Linked DNA regions of Sus scrofa. The protein of the gene in region 3 interacts with the protein of the main gene of each other region in a pairwise test. Links are inferred from orthologs where the notes say so. Each region holds a gene or a part of one and is shown on either strand. Other genes may lie near its edges.

Region 1 (4,011 bases), on a different chromosome or scaffold from region 3:
ATCTCTAAGCGAACCATTTAAGTCAGACAGATTTAAGGACAGAGTTCCCATTTTCTCTGCCGTCTGGGCACGAACCAGCGTCTTGTTGCCAATTTTAAAGCTGTACCCACAGACCTTCCTTTAACCAGGTGCCTGGGAATGCTGAGGTTTTCCTTCCACACACAGAAGGCAACTTCTCCCTGCCCAGAATATCAACCGCACAGATTACAGCAGGTTTATTAGCTCCAGGAAAAGGAGCAACAGTACCTAGCTCTCAGGCAACTCCTCATTCTCTACATACAGGCTCCATCTTGCCCAAGGTCCACTGCTCCTTCAACGTGAGGGTCCATCCAGTGCCTCCCTTCTCAGCGTTGAGGACAGCTAGCTGCCAGATGGCGAGGCTTCTGGCTGTTCAGCAGCAACACCTGGCACAGCTGAGGCAGCCTCGTAGTCAGCGATGCGGCGCTGTACCAGGGCAGGCATGAGCTGCACGTAAGCGGCCATGAGGCGGTGGTTGGAATGGATCAGCTTCCCGGCACAGCTGTGCAGACAGGCCTCCTGGAAGGAAGACAGGGTGGAAGTAGAAGCCAAAGGTGTCCAGTCAGGTCCGTTTCCCTCCTTCCCATCCCCAGCCTCAGGGCGGAGGTCGTGGGAAGCCAGGGCCGGACGTAGGGGAATTGACGGGAGAGGGAAGCAGTGCACGGTTAGCTCTGAGGCTCGAGGAGCACTTCCCTACTCAGTTCCCCCACCTAACCTCCTCGGCATCCAGAGCTCGGTGATGCAGGCTGGGCACGCAGCGCTGGAAGCAGAGTTCCGTCATCCGATTGTAGACCAACAGGAAGTCCCGCAACTGGGGAGGAAGGGGGACAAGGAACTCAGCGAAGAGGGGGCCACGTCTCAACTCAAGGCCGCGCTGCCGGCGCTTTCCCAGGACCGTGTACCACGGCCCGTGGTTCCCAGCCCTTGGATGCCTGGCTCTCTGGGGTTTCCGCCATGCGAACAGGGATGCTAGCTGGATGCAGGGCCCTTAAGCGACTTAGCTCCCACTCACGTTTCTCAGCTGCTGCTGCTGCTGCTGTTGCTGTTCCATCACGCCGCCGGCGCACAACCTACGTCACTTCCGTTACAGCTTCTAGGGAACGCCCCGGAAGTGACCTCAATGGCTCCCCAGGGGCAGAGGGGTTGGCTCAAGGAGCGCCCGCCCACCTCCCCGCGACGTCACTTCCGCCCTCATAATCGGCTACGTGGCCGGCTTCTTCTGCCCGGGAGAGGACGTCACTTCCGCCGAGTCCCTGACCTGCTGCTAGGATCGCGACGGGAACTGGATCCCGAGATCCCCGCGCGGCCCGGGCCTGGCGCCCTGAGGGGAAGAGCGGCCCGGCCCGAGGTGAGAGGGACGTGCATGGGCGAGGGCAAGGTGAACGCACGAACCTGACCTGAGGGCAAGATGCTTCTGAGCCCTGGGAAAGGATGAGGACACACCTGACGCCCAGGTGTATGGGGGGAGGGCGGAGACTCACACACCTGGGGAGACCTAACTGACTTTGGAAGGGATCACCTCCCTATGTCCTGGGGCAAAGGGACTTTTCCCCGGGGTCGGGAACTTACACCAACTGATTCAACTAAGGCCTGGGGCGGGGGTGGGGGCAGGAAGAGGGGGTGCATGGGATGGAGGAGGGGGAGACCACCTGCAGGAAAGAGGAGGAGACATTAGAGGAGTGTGAAAGGCCAAACAATGGCGAACATACCTGAACGGGGATAGGCACCTGAGCGCTGGGAAAGGGATTGTCTCCTGATGAGGAGGAATACCTGCGTGGGGATAAGCTGCTTGAGAGCACAGGCTTTCTCTCCATTGCCTCAAATAGTGCGTGGCATGTAGTAGGCACTCATTAAATGTCTGTGGAAGGACTGAATGCATGAATGATCCCTGGACTGCTGGGGGGGTGGGGGTGGGGGGGTCATGAGAACATGACCTCTGGTCAGGCACACCTGAGGCCTGGGTGCCTGTGTGTAAAACTTTGCACCTTGGAAGGGAGAAAGACAAAGCCCCGAGGGAAGAGTGGTGGGCAGACCCCACCACACTGAAGCCCCGGGACGGCCTCTGCAAGGGCAGGGGAGACCTTCCTCTTCGGAGAACTGGCCCGTTTCCAGAACTGTCTGTGTTGGGCTTTGCAGGGCGCTGGGGTGGAGACTTTGACTCCAGTCCCTTCGCTCGCCATGACGGACGGGATCCTAGGGAAGGCAGCCACAATGGAGATCCCCATCCACGGGAATGGTGACGCGGGGCAGCTTCCTGAGGATGATGGGCTGGAGCAGGTGCTTCTGTTTGATTCTTCACATTGTTTCAGTTGAGGAATCCCAACTCTTAAACCCTGAGCTCTCTCCTTCTTCCAGTAGCCTTCCCCCAACTCACCTGATTTCCTTCAGTCTTTTTACCAATCTTTGTTCTGATTCTGTGCAGACTTCCCTTGTGTGCTCTCTCTATGATGCTTCAATCCAAGCTTGTTTTCACCCCCAAAATGCTTCAGCTGCCCATATGTTCCTGAAGCCCCCCTCTTCTCTGGCCTATAGGACCTCCAGCAGGTGATGGTGTCAGGACCCAACCTCAATGAAACCAGCATTGTGTCTGGTGGCTATGGGGGCTCTGGTGATGGACTCATCCCCACAGGTATGAATGATCAGAGCAGGATAGGGCATTGAGTGGAGAGGGGAAGAGGACTGGCTCCAGGGGGCATAGGATACGTCTAAGAAGGCGTGAATCATGTCTGGAGCTCGTGGGAACCTCTGCCAGGATGAACCCGCGGGCATCTCAGCCCAAGGCCCGTTCCCAGGGGTGTCCATCTGCCTCCACTTGCCACTTTGTCCCTCAGATATGCCCACTTGTCCCTTCTCTGCCGTCACTACCTGAGTCAGGCAGAGAACTCTGTTCACCAGGCCTCCCCTGCTCTGGAGCTTGAATCTGATTTGGAGCTTTGAGAGGCTTATCAGAGTCTTACGTTAGACTCTGCTATTTAGAGGAACAAGCAGCCCTGAATCTCGCAGTGACTGGGATCCACATGGGAATGTCAGCCAGGTGTTCGGTTCGAGGGGCGCCCAGCCATGGTCAGCGACCCCATTCTCAGCCTAGTCTCCGCTGTTTCCTCTGCCCCTGCACACGAGCAACCCCTCCCACCTCCCTTTCCAGTCCTCACCTCCACGTCAAAAGGAGGCCAGGTGTATGTTGGGATTGGGTCTCAGGGTCCAAGGCATGAATTCCTCCTAGTGAGTCTCCAGCCCTGCTCCTTCCGGGGCGTCATTTTCATGTGCTGGGAGGGAAGTGTGGGTGGAACCACAGAGGCGTCGGATTGTGTCTGAGAGAGGCTGGTGTCAGAGAACTTGGTCCTTTAGGGTCTGGCCGCCATCCATCTCACAGCGCCCCTCCTGCTGGCCCCGGGGATGAGGTGGCCCGGGGCATCGCTGGAGAGAAGTTCGACATCGTCAAGAAATGGGGCATCAACACGTATAAGGTGGGATTCACGCACCTCCTCCGCCCCCTGAGCTCCCCCGGGTACCTCTTCCCCATCTTGCGGATCCTCCTGTCCCATCATCTCGGGCTGAGACTTGGAGTCTGGGGACGCCGGGGTAGACACTTGCTGCGGGGCAGGGCCGGGCGCCAGGGTCTCTGACCTGTTCCCCCACTTCCCACTCAGTGCACAAAGCAGCTGTTATCAGAGCGGTTTGGCCGAGGCTCCCGGACTGTGGACCTGGAGCTAGAGCTGCAAATTGAGCTGCTGCGTGAGACGAAGCGCAAGTATGAGAGTGTCCTGCAGCTGGGCCGGGCCCTGACAGCCCACCTCTACAGCCTGCTGCAGACCCAGCATGCACTGGGGGATGCCTTTGCTGACCTCAGCCAGAAGTCCCCAGAGCTTCAGGTGCCTTGGGCAGGCCAGAGGGGGAGGGGGGCCTGGGCCCGGGGCCCTCCCAGGCAGTCACCCCTCAGCCTCCCTCCTCCCTCCCTCCTGCAGCCCAGAGGGAGAACCCCTCCAGGGTGGG
Region 2 (4,289 bases), on a different chromosome or scaffold from region 3:
CAAATCCACTGGTCATTTCTAATTAACCCCAGAATGCATGAGATCAGAGGATTTTTTTATTGCTGTTGATTTTTTAAAAAATCAACTTTCTTAATTACCGCTTTTTAGGCCAAGATGGAAACTAATTCGTTCTCCTTAAGCATGCCAGCTCAAAGGATGGAAGATATCCTAGAAAGCCTCAGTGTAACCTGGGGAAATCTGCCTAAAAATTTTAAGTGGCCAACACAAAGACAATCACCTATATGTATGTGTGCAAGGCAAAGCTGATATCAAAGTATTACAGCTTTTTTGTGTGCCTAACTTCACTAAATCAACAAGTGTGGTTTTTTTAATCACTGCTACTTAAATACATTTTCAAATCAAATAAAAAATTAAAAACCAATTCCCCCAAAAAAACTTAAAAATAAATCTTGTGGCAACTACAAAGACAGTAATTGCCAAATATAGTGTACACAAACAAGTAAGGAAAAACTGCAATTTCTTATCCTAAAAGATCCAAATATCTACCAAAATCTCCCTAACTAGCTCATCTTATAACAAGAGGCCAGATTATCAGGAGGACTTTTTAATAGATAATTACTAGCAACTAATACAGTAAACAATACTTAGGACAGCACCTGGAATGTCTGTTCAGCGGTGTCTAACACTGCAAAATATGTAATAAAGACTTTTACACTGCATTTCTTTGTCTCCATATTTATGAAACCGTAAGATGGTAGGGTGAACATTAGATCATCAGATAGAACAATGCAAATCGGTGCTATGTTCCTAAATTCCTCTTCTTTGAAGATATTCCCCTGCCACAAAGACTAGAATTTAAGATGCCATTTTCCTAAGTGTTTTCAAGAACTTAAGCATTAAATTCCCAAATACACCACCACAAAGAGAGAAAGGATTCTTTACATCCAGGACTAGAACCCTACCTACTCCTAACTTTAGGTAATATGAAAAGGAAATTAAAATAGGTCATAAATACTTTCATTTTCTTGAAATAAAATTATCAATAAACTTGTTAGGATTACACACTTGTTCTACATTTTATTTCCAAACATAAAATAGTTGCTAACGGTGATGAATGAAGAGTAGTGGAAAATAAACTCCAAACCCCCTAGCTCCCTGGTGGTCTAATGGTTAGGATCCCACACGCTCTTAAAATCCCTTAGAAGTATAGCCTACATTCAACTGTATCAGCATTAGTGTTTTTTAAAGATTTTCTTAAATGGTGTTTTATGTGACATTAAAAAGCCACAAAATTAATCCGATAAATGACCTTTAAAACCCAGAAAGTAAACCTTGAAGTAAAATATTTTTAAATACCAAAGACATATCTTTGTTTCCAAATGACTTAAATTTTACAGATCCTGTGTGACAAACAAAGGAAGTTTAGCTTAACTGTGGACAGCACACGTTCAATTTCTTAGGCAACAAACATTTCTGTAGTCAGTCTTTTCTGACTCAACAAAGCTATTGTTCACGGAAAACAAGACCAATTAATGACGAATTGCTAACCAGACCACCTAAACACACATTTGTCATAAACATTTTGCTTGATCAATTCTTTCTACCATCGCATCCTCATTCAATCCCTGGGGATTTGGAGAATAATCTCTTACTAAATGACAGTTGATTTCGTTAGCACCTGTCGCCAGTCTCAGATGTATCACATAAGTTGGCCGAAAGAGCATGTAATTTTTTAAAAAAAATATGATTCTTTAGAAAGCGGGAACTCAGCAGGCGTGAGTTCACCAAGTTTTCATTTCAAAATATCATGCTTCTCGATTCCTCCAATTTTCAAAAAGGGACCTGATGGCACCGACTTTTTTTGGGGGGGTGGACAATGACGCGGAAACTCGACGAAAAGCCCTCCGAAACGAACAAAACCGAGCGGGGGGAGAACGGCTCGACCCTTCCTCAAACTTAACAGAAAGCCAGCCGAGGGGGTAAAGGCGGCCGGGACCGCCTCGTCAGAGCGGGTGGAGACGAGGGGTTCGGGGGTGCTTTCCGGGGAAATGTCAGACCCGCAGCCGCTCCGAGTTCGGTTCCCAGCGCCGCCCCGGCCCCCTCGGCCCCGGCCGAGCCTGCGCGCTCGCGGGGAGGGGGCGTGGGGCCCAGCCCGCCCCCTGCGCCGCGGCCCGCGCTCCCCACGCCCCTCTCCCGCCCGCTGTCAGGCCCGGGTGTCACTGCCCCTTCCCCGCGCCGAGCTCCCCCGAGACACAGTCCGTCCTTTGTCTGAGTGTGCACTCGGTGCCGAGGTCCCACCAACTTGTGTGCGTCCCGTCCCACCCGGGCGCTCCCGCCGCGACGCTCCACACAAAGGAGACAGGGGCTCGGGCGGCCGGCCCGCCCCGAGCACCGGAGCGCCCCCAGCCCAGCCGCCGCGCCTCCCGAAGGGCGGGCGCGCGAGAAGACCCCTCGGCTCGCCCCCCAGGGCGCCCGCCCGGGGTCCCGCCTTAGGTCGCCAGGTGCGGCGCTGCCCGCCCCCGCGGTCGCGCGGGCCAGCCCAAAGCCACGGCCCCTTCCGAGGGGTCTCCTCTCACCCCTCCAGCCAAAGCGGCGCCCCGGGAAAGCCCGCTCTGGGCGATACCCGGAGGGGTGGCGGGGATATCCCGGCGCCGCCGCCGCCCCTCACCGAGCTTCGGAGCCCCGCTGGCCGGCCGGCCCGACAGCGGCACGCTACCTGAGCCCCGCGCCCCAGCCCGCTCCGCTCCCGCGCGCCGCTCCCGCGCGCCACCACCGCCGCCGGGCTTCCACCGCCTTCTGCGTCCCAGTGGGTGTCGGACGCTCCCGGACCAAGCGCCAAACCCGGCAGCCCAATCGCCATCGCTTTTATTTGGCCCCCCCTGTCCAACTAAGCGCCGCCCCGATTGGCGGGCCGCGAGGCGGGCTCCCGTCCAATCACAAGGCCCGCCGGGCTCCGTGGCGGCGAGCCAGCCCCACGCAGAGGAGCCCGCGGGACTCAGCCGGGCCGGGCCGGCGGCGCGTGCGCGCGAGCGGGCGGGCGCTGAGGGACGCGGCCGCCGAGTGGAAGCGCTGCGCCGTCTCTTTGTTCTTTCGCCGAACGCACGGCGCCTCTCAGGAAGGCGGTGGGTCGGCTGGCTGGGACGATGGGGCCTCTGCAGCCCGAATCCCGGGCCGCGGGCGGGAGGCGGCCAGGGCAGGATGGCGGGAACCGACCAGGGGGCGGGACGGCGCGCTCGCGGCGCTTGGCGGGAACCGCCGGCAGCCTCAGAGTTCCCGGGCCGGAGGGGCGGGGCGGGGCCGATAGCCAAGTTTGAACCAGTTCAAAACTCGGGGGTGGTAACGGTTTCAACTGCCGCGCTCTTTTCCCCGCGCGCGGAGCCGAAGCGCAGGCCGGCCGGCGGACGCGCGCGAGGTACCCCGATTGCCGGCCAGTTACGCTCTGCGGTCCGGGCTCCAATCTGGTTCGTTTCGGGCGAGGAGCCCCGAGCCTTTCGCGGTCTGGTCGGACTGGCGCGCCGCCTCCGGTGCGAGCAGAGCGCTCTGCCAGCTACTTTTTCTGCTAAGCCCCTCAGTGGCTTGGCCCGACTCAGATCCCCTGGCCCGCTGGACTTTGGTTGGTCGAGGCCGCAGTGCCCATCTCCTTAGAAACCTGGGAAACAGCAGCCCTACTGTTATTTCAGTTTCCTCATTCTGAGCGCCTTGTTCGGCACCTTCCAGCGTTTGTAGTTCCAAACACGTGTCAACGTTAATCATTTATCAGGGGTGAGTGGGGTTCACTTGCCTCGAGCTAACGCCTCTGGAAAAAATTGGGATGATTGCAGCATCTTTCAAGTGTTAAAAAAAAAAATGATCTGCGGGTGAGCCTGTATCAACCCATAAGAATTAGAAATATTCTGTTTAGGATGCAGTTTCCCCTTTTAATTTATCTGACAGTGAAGGTAAGGTTATTCTGAATTTTCTTTTTTTTCTTTTTAGGGCCTCATCCGAGGCGTATGGAGTTTCCCAGGCCAGGGGTGGAATCCGGCCTACACCACAGCCACAGCAACTCAGGCTCCAAGCCGTATCTGCGACCTACTCCACAGCTCAACAAGGCCAGGGATCTAACTGCAACCTCAGGCATGGTTCCTAGTTGGATTAGTTTCTGCTGCGCCACGGGATCTCCTGAATTTATTTTCAATAGGATGCAGGAATAGGGCAAAACAATCGTTCACCCATGTAAACAGATTGAGAGTTCAGATGGAGGGCGGGGAGGATAGTCAACTAGGAACTGGAGTTAAAAGCCTAACGAAATCATATACTTAGTATTTTTAGCTACATTTTTAAAGGAC
Region 3 (5,279 bases):
AGAAAAAAAGTAACCATGTTAATAACATTAGGTACCATGACTTTCAGCAAAAGAGAAAAGGATACATATTAAATAAGTTGTTTTTAAAAAATTATAAAATTAAATTGGGAGGTTCCTGTTGTGGCTCAGCAGTAAAGAACCTGACTAGTATCCATGAGGACGCTGTTCCATCCCTGGCCTTGCTCAGTGGGTTAAGGATCTGGTGTTGCCCTGAGCTGCAGTGGAGGTTGAAGATGCAACTCCGATCTGGCTTTGCTGTGGCTGTGGCGTAAGCCAGAAGCTGCAGCTCCAATTCAACCCCTAGCCTGGGAACTTCCATATGCCATGAGTGTGGCCCTAAAAAGAAAAATAAATAAATAAATAAATAGGAAATATCAGTGTGAGTAAATAAATAATAAATTAGAAATATCATGTGAATTCTGTGTATTTCTCTTCAAGAAAAAAAGTACATATTTCCTAACTTCGAGCACTAAATCCTAAAACCAATGGCCAGCCTAGCAGCAAGTATACCTCTAGTATCCACTCAAAGGAATCAGGGCTTCTTAGTGGTCGGAAATATACAAATAAGCCAATAACACCTTTTACTCAACAATAAGGAAACTCTCAAAGTGGACAAAAGACAACTTATTCAGGCTACTACTGGCCAACAACAGGACAAGTTAAGTACCCAACCCCCCCCCAAAACCCGCACTAGGTTGAAACAGTTTAAATATATTCAAGTCTGTAAGTTCATGATGATTTTTTTAAAAAAAAGGCAAAACGCTCATGGTTACCTTTGGAGATTGCTAGGCCACCAACTCATTACTGTACTCTGGAAATAGAGGGAAAGAATTCAGCATTTTTCTTGTCTTTCCTATACAAACTGTATTGCAAACAGCTGGCGGGGTAGTCAAATAGCTTGCTGAAGTAAAAAGTTCTTCTTCACAAAAAATTTCCAGCTAATTAAATACTGAGGATAGAATCAAAGAATCACCATATTGCAAACTCTAATGCAATAATGGATATAAGCAATCTAAATCCAGGACAGGATCTCACCATTAAGTGAAAGGTTCACAGGGAATTTCATCATGGATAAACTGGACTGACAACACCTGAACCCCCATAGCTGCCCAGTTGTAACACCAAAGAGAAAAAACTTGGACATTACTGTTTTGCACCAACTATGAAATCTTGCCCCACCCTCACCCTTCCCAAAGAGTCAAGGCTGAATCTGATCGAGTTTCTAGATCAGTACTGTTCAAAAGACCTTTATGCAATTATGGAAATCTTTATATATACAATTCAAATAGTAGCCATTAGGCATCTGTGACTATCATGCACTTGAAATGTGGCCAATGCAACTAGGGAACTGAAATTTTTGGGGTTTTTTCCTATTTTAATTCATTTAGACAGCCATAGCTGGCTGGTGCCTGCTATATTAGACAGGGCAATTCTAGACCTTACTACCAGTTTAAAGGTGATAAAGGGAATAGATATATAAGTTAAAGGATACTATGTGGATGCAATCAACTAAATCTAGAATGTTAAGGGAAATAAGGGAGGCAACAAAACTGCCATATAAAAAACTTCTAAAAGGTGTATCAACCCAATGCAACAAATGGGTCTCTAAAGGACTTTGATCCAAACAAGCTAACTGTAAAAACACGTATTTGGGACAATTGGGGAAATCCAAACTCAGACTAAATATTGACATTTCGGGTATTTTACTAATTGTCATAGATGTGATGACAGTAATACAATTTTGTAAAACTGAAAACACTAATTATTGAAGGAAGAAAGCCTAAAATACCATAAAGACCAAAAATTCAATTCCTGAAACATATGTCAACGCTGGCTTTAGGTGAATTTCAAATCAAGTTAATATACATTTAAAAGTAGGAAGTTCTGATAAAGTGGACTACTACTGATGCTGTCACCACCTACCACCACTAGTACACAAGTAAGAACAGGTAGGATCAAGCAAGAGTGTTCTACCTTTAATGGGAGAAGAGTGGCTTCAGTACTATTAATATACACAATTACTAGAAATAATTTTAAAAACTGAATCAACATACATTTTAAAGTGCAGTTCATTTTAAAGTGAAAGTTTATAAATGTCTAACCCGTTTTAATTTGTCTTTCTTACTAATCACTGATAATGATATAATCAAAAGGCAGAATAAAAATCCATCTAAAAATGATATGGGGAGTTCCCCTCGTGGCACAGTGGTTAACGAATCCGACTAGGAACCATGAGGTTGCGGGTTCGGTCCCTGCCCTTGCTCAGTGGGTTAACGATCCGGCTTTGCCATGAGCTGTGGTGTAGGTTGCAGACGCGGCTCGGATCCCGCGTTGCTGTGGCTCTGGCGTAGGCAGGTGGCTACAGCTCCGATTCAACCCCTAGCCTGGGAACCTCCATATGCCGCAGGAGCGGCCCAAGAAATAGCAAAAAGACAAAAAAAAAAAAAAAAGGATACGGTATTCAAAATAAAACACATACACTTTATTATATAATTAAGCTACAGTTGTGATCAGTATAAATATAAATATTCGAAGGTAGCATGTAGTTAATAATCCTTGATTTCCTCTTCATGTCTAGAAAATTAAATGCACGCATGTGGGAAACTATTACCACAGGGCACTAACCCTACAATACTGCTTTATTAAAAGAAGAAAAAATTCTTAAAGACTGGTTTAAGGAACTGTCTGTAAGGCTCAAGGAAAACTACTTTGTGCAAAGAAATGTACTGTAATTGCAAAGGAAGAGTAGTCGCTGACAGCGGACTCATCTTTACTGTTTCAAGAAGCATAAGAAAAACCTCATTATAAGCCTAGATTTACCGCCTTAAAGTATCTTGATGATTAAAGTGTTCTAAGGACCTATACCTTTTATTTCCTCAATTTATCATTTATTTCCCATCCCTGATTTGTATGGATCCCTAAGTCCAGGGTTCCCCAATTGAGTCCTTCATGTTTTCTGCCACATTTCTGTACCTCCAATACGTTTTTAACCAACTCACTTTTTAAAACTTGCTAAACTTCCCACCCGTGAATGAACCGCTATCACCTGCCATCAATGACCTAAGTCGCAACAATGCTAAGAAGCTAACCAGATGAGGCAGCCCAGGCGAGAGGGCCTTGCCGAGGATCCCTCCCCTGAAGTGGAAGAGTGGCCCGCGGCTAACTCCGCTCCGGGAAGACGAGCAGCTCGCCCACCCCGCCGCCCTCCCGCCGGCCCGGTCTCTAGGTAAGAGCTGACCACCTGGCTGGCCGGGACCGCACGCCGAGGGAGGCCATATCCGGCTTCGCGGGTCAGCCGGGCGTCAGCGAAAAGGCCGGGGGGCGGGGCGCCGGGGCGGAGCCGGGCCGGCGGGGGCGGGCCTGGAGGCCAGCGGGCGGCTGAGGAAGCAGGCCCCAGGCCATTCGGCCGCTCGGCCCGCGGCCCCACCGCAGCCAGGGCTACCTCCAGGCCCAGAGACGGCCGCCCCTCGCCCGTCCGACGTTCGCAATGCGGTTAAGGGCTGCCGCGAGCGCTCCCCGAGCCTTCCCGCCGTTACCTACGGCTGGGGGTGCGCACGCGCGGCACCGCCAACCTGACGTCCAGCCACAGCAGTCAGCACGTTCGTTTTGCCCACTGCTCCTTCACTTTTAATTAAAACAATGTCCTCCCTAACTCCCCCTGTGCTCCGGCAAATGGGCTCACCCACATCCGGGGATCGGAAAGTGAAGGACGTCTGGGTCACGTGATGCTGAGGGCGCGGTCGGCGGGGGTGTGTGACACGCTGGGTTTGGGGCTGGTAAAAGGGTTTGCGCGCACGTAATGTAGGGTCTGGAGATACGGGAGCGCGTTCGGACTCCTGCCGTTTCTCTTGGCTTAGGTCGTTGTTTTCACATCATCCTCTCCCTCCTAACCACTTCTCTTACCACACGTTGGGCGGGGAGGAGGGGAACTTGCTTGGCTGTCCGGACCCCCCCCCCTCGCTTCCGCATTTGGTATATCCCGCCTCGGGCCGGAAGCCGTGGCTGTGGGGCGGCCTCCCAGGCCTGTATGGACGGTGGTGGCCCGAGAGGGTCATTTCTAGCGAGGGAAAAGGCGTCCCAGTTTTGCTCATGTAACTGCATGTTTCACAGAGCTCTAAAGCAGAGATGAATAAAACTGCCCTCCCCCCGGGAAACGCAGGCGTCTCGTGTCTGGAAAGACCGTGTGACAGGCAATATACCAAGATCCTGATGGGGATCATTCTCTGTGCCCAGAGAACTATGGGACCCGCGGAGGGGCGGGGACTGCGCTCTTCTGGCTCTTAGAGAACGACTCCTGCAGAAGACGACCTGGGAGCTAAATTTTTTGGACAGTTTGGGGTTAGCTGGGGAAAAAAGGAAGAAGACAGAGCATTCCAGGCATTGGGACAGTCGTATGTGTAAGAAAACTTTGTTCAGGAAAGTGGTAATGCTTCATTCTGTTGAGTGAGGCAAGTGTTTGAGACGTAGTCATTTCCTGGTCATTGCCCCTCTTTGCCCGTCTTGTGCTTTCCTTTTTTCCAGCCCCTGAAGAGAGAAGGCACCTTAGCGCCTAACTCTGGAAATGGCATGTTGGTTCTGATGAGCTGACGCCAGCTTTGAGTTTGGAAGGAAAAATGGGTGTGTTAGTGATGGGGTAAAGAACTTTGAGTGCAAAGGCTGGAAAGGATAACAGAGTTAGAGGTGTTCGGAAGAGGGACAGGTGAAAAAAGATTGAGGCCAAATTGAGGAAAGATGTGCTGAGTCACTGACAAAAAATTTTACTACACACAGCAATTGGAAGCAGTAATACCTGAGCAGTTGGTCACAAAGTCGACCTGACTTGGTTAGTAGATCATAAGGACAAAAGGTAGATCAAGGGCAGGATGTGGGCTGAAGCTGGAGTGATCTGAGAAACCCTTACAGAAAGGTGGGATCTGTGTGTGACTGGGAAAATCAGCTGGAAGGGACTGTGATCTTGTAAATAACCTGACCCGGATGAGATGAGTCTTTCCCAAAGTGATATCATGCCAAAAGACACATCCAGGCTAAAAAGCTTGGAGAACCCCTAGTGCTAGATTACATCATCTCCTCATGCTTAAGAAATAACCTCTTTGGCTTTCAGATCTGGCAAGAGCAAAGCTGCAGGAAAATGGACAGTGAGGTACAGAGAGATGGAAGGATCTTGGATTTGATTGACGATGCTTGGCGAGAGGACAAGCTGCCTTATGAAGATGTTGCAATACCACTGGTAGGCCCCTGCTTATTCTGAGGTGATGGGTTAAAGGTCTGATATAGTAGAA

The links.
Region 1: the proteins of CEP63 (region 3) and ARFIP2 interact in binary tests that used the Homo sapiens proteins (3 or more experiments, as listed by UniProt). The link is inferred for Sus scrofa from reciprocal best matches to the Homo sapiens genes CEP63 and ARFIP2.
Region 2: the proteins of CEP63 (region 3) and EZH2 interact in binary tests that used the Homo sapiens proteins (3 or more experiments, as listed by UniProt). The two-hybrid records come from large-scale screens. The link is inferred for Sus scrofa from reciprocal best matches to the Homo sapiens genes CEP63 and EZH2.

What each region holds. Positions count from the first base shown.
Region 1 is NC_010451.4:3,248,800-3,252,810, forward strand, and holds the start of ARFIP2 (arfaptin-2), read left to right. Parts: upstream 1-1,211; 5' UTR 1,212-1,366; intron 1,367-2,154; 5' UTR 2,155-2,196; coding exon 2,197-2,295; intron 2,296-2,550; coding exon 2,551-2,647; intron 2,648-3,366; coding exon 3,367-3,485; intron 3,486-3,668; coding exon 3,669-3,890; intron 3,891-4,011. Other genes in the region: TIMM10B (mitochondrial import inner membrane translocase subunit Tim10 B), read right to left, coding at 361-537, 734-829, 1,031-1,069. UniProt on the Homo sapiens protein: Plays a role in constitutive metalloproteinase (MMP) secretion from the trans Golgi network. May have important functions during vesicle biogenesis at certain cargo subdomains, which could be predominantly utilized by secreted MMPs, such as MMP7 and MMP2.
Region 2 is NC_010451.4:109,383,527-109,387,815, reverse strand, and holds the start of EZH2 (histone-lysine N-methyltransferase EZH2), read right to left. Parts: upstream 2,801-4,289; 5' UTR 2,678-2,800; intron 2,654-2,677; exon of another isoform or gene 2,630-2,653; intron 1-2,629. UniProt on the Homo sapiens protein: Polycomb group (PcG) protein. Catalytic subunit of the PRC2/EED-EZH2 complex, which methylates 'Lys-9' (H3K9me) and 'Lys-27' (H3K27me) of histone H3, leading to transcriptional repression of the affected target gene.
Region 3 is NC_010455.5:75,604,110-75,609,388, reverse strand, and holds the start of CEP63 (centrosomal protein of 63 kDa), read right to left. Parts: upstream 3,349-5,279; 5' UTR 3,277-3,348; coding exon 3,242-3,276; intron 3,209-3,241; exon of another isoform or gene 3,090-3,208; intron 812-3,089; exon of another isoform or gene 803-811; coding exon of another isoform or gene 774-802; intron 1-773. Other genes in the region: ANAPC13 (anaphase-promoting complex subunit 13), read left to right, coding at 5,129-5,227. UniProt on the Homo sapiens protein: Required for normal spindle assembly.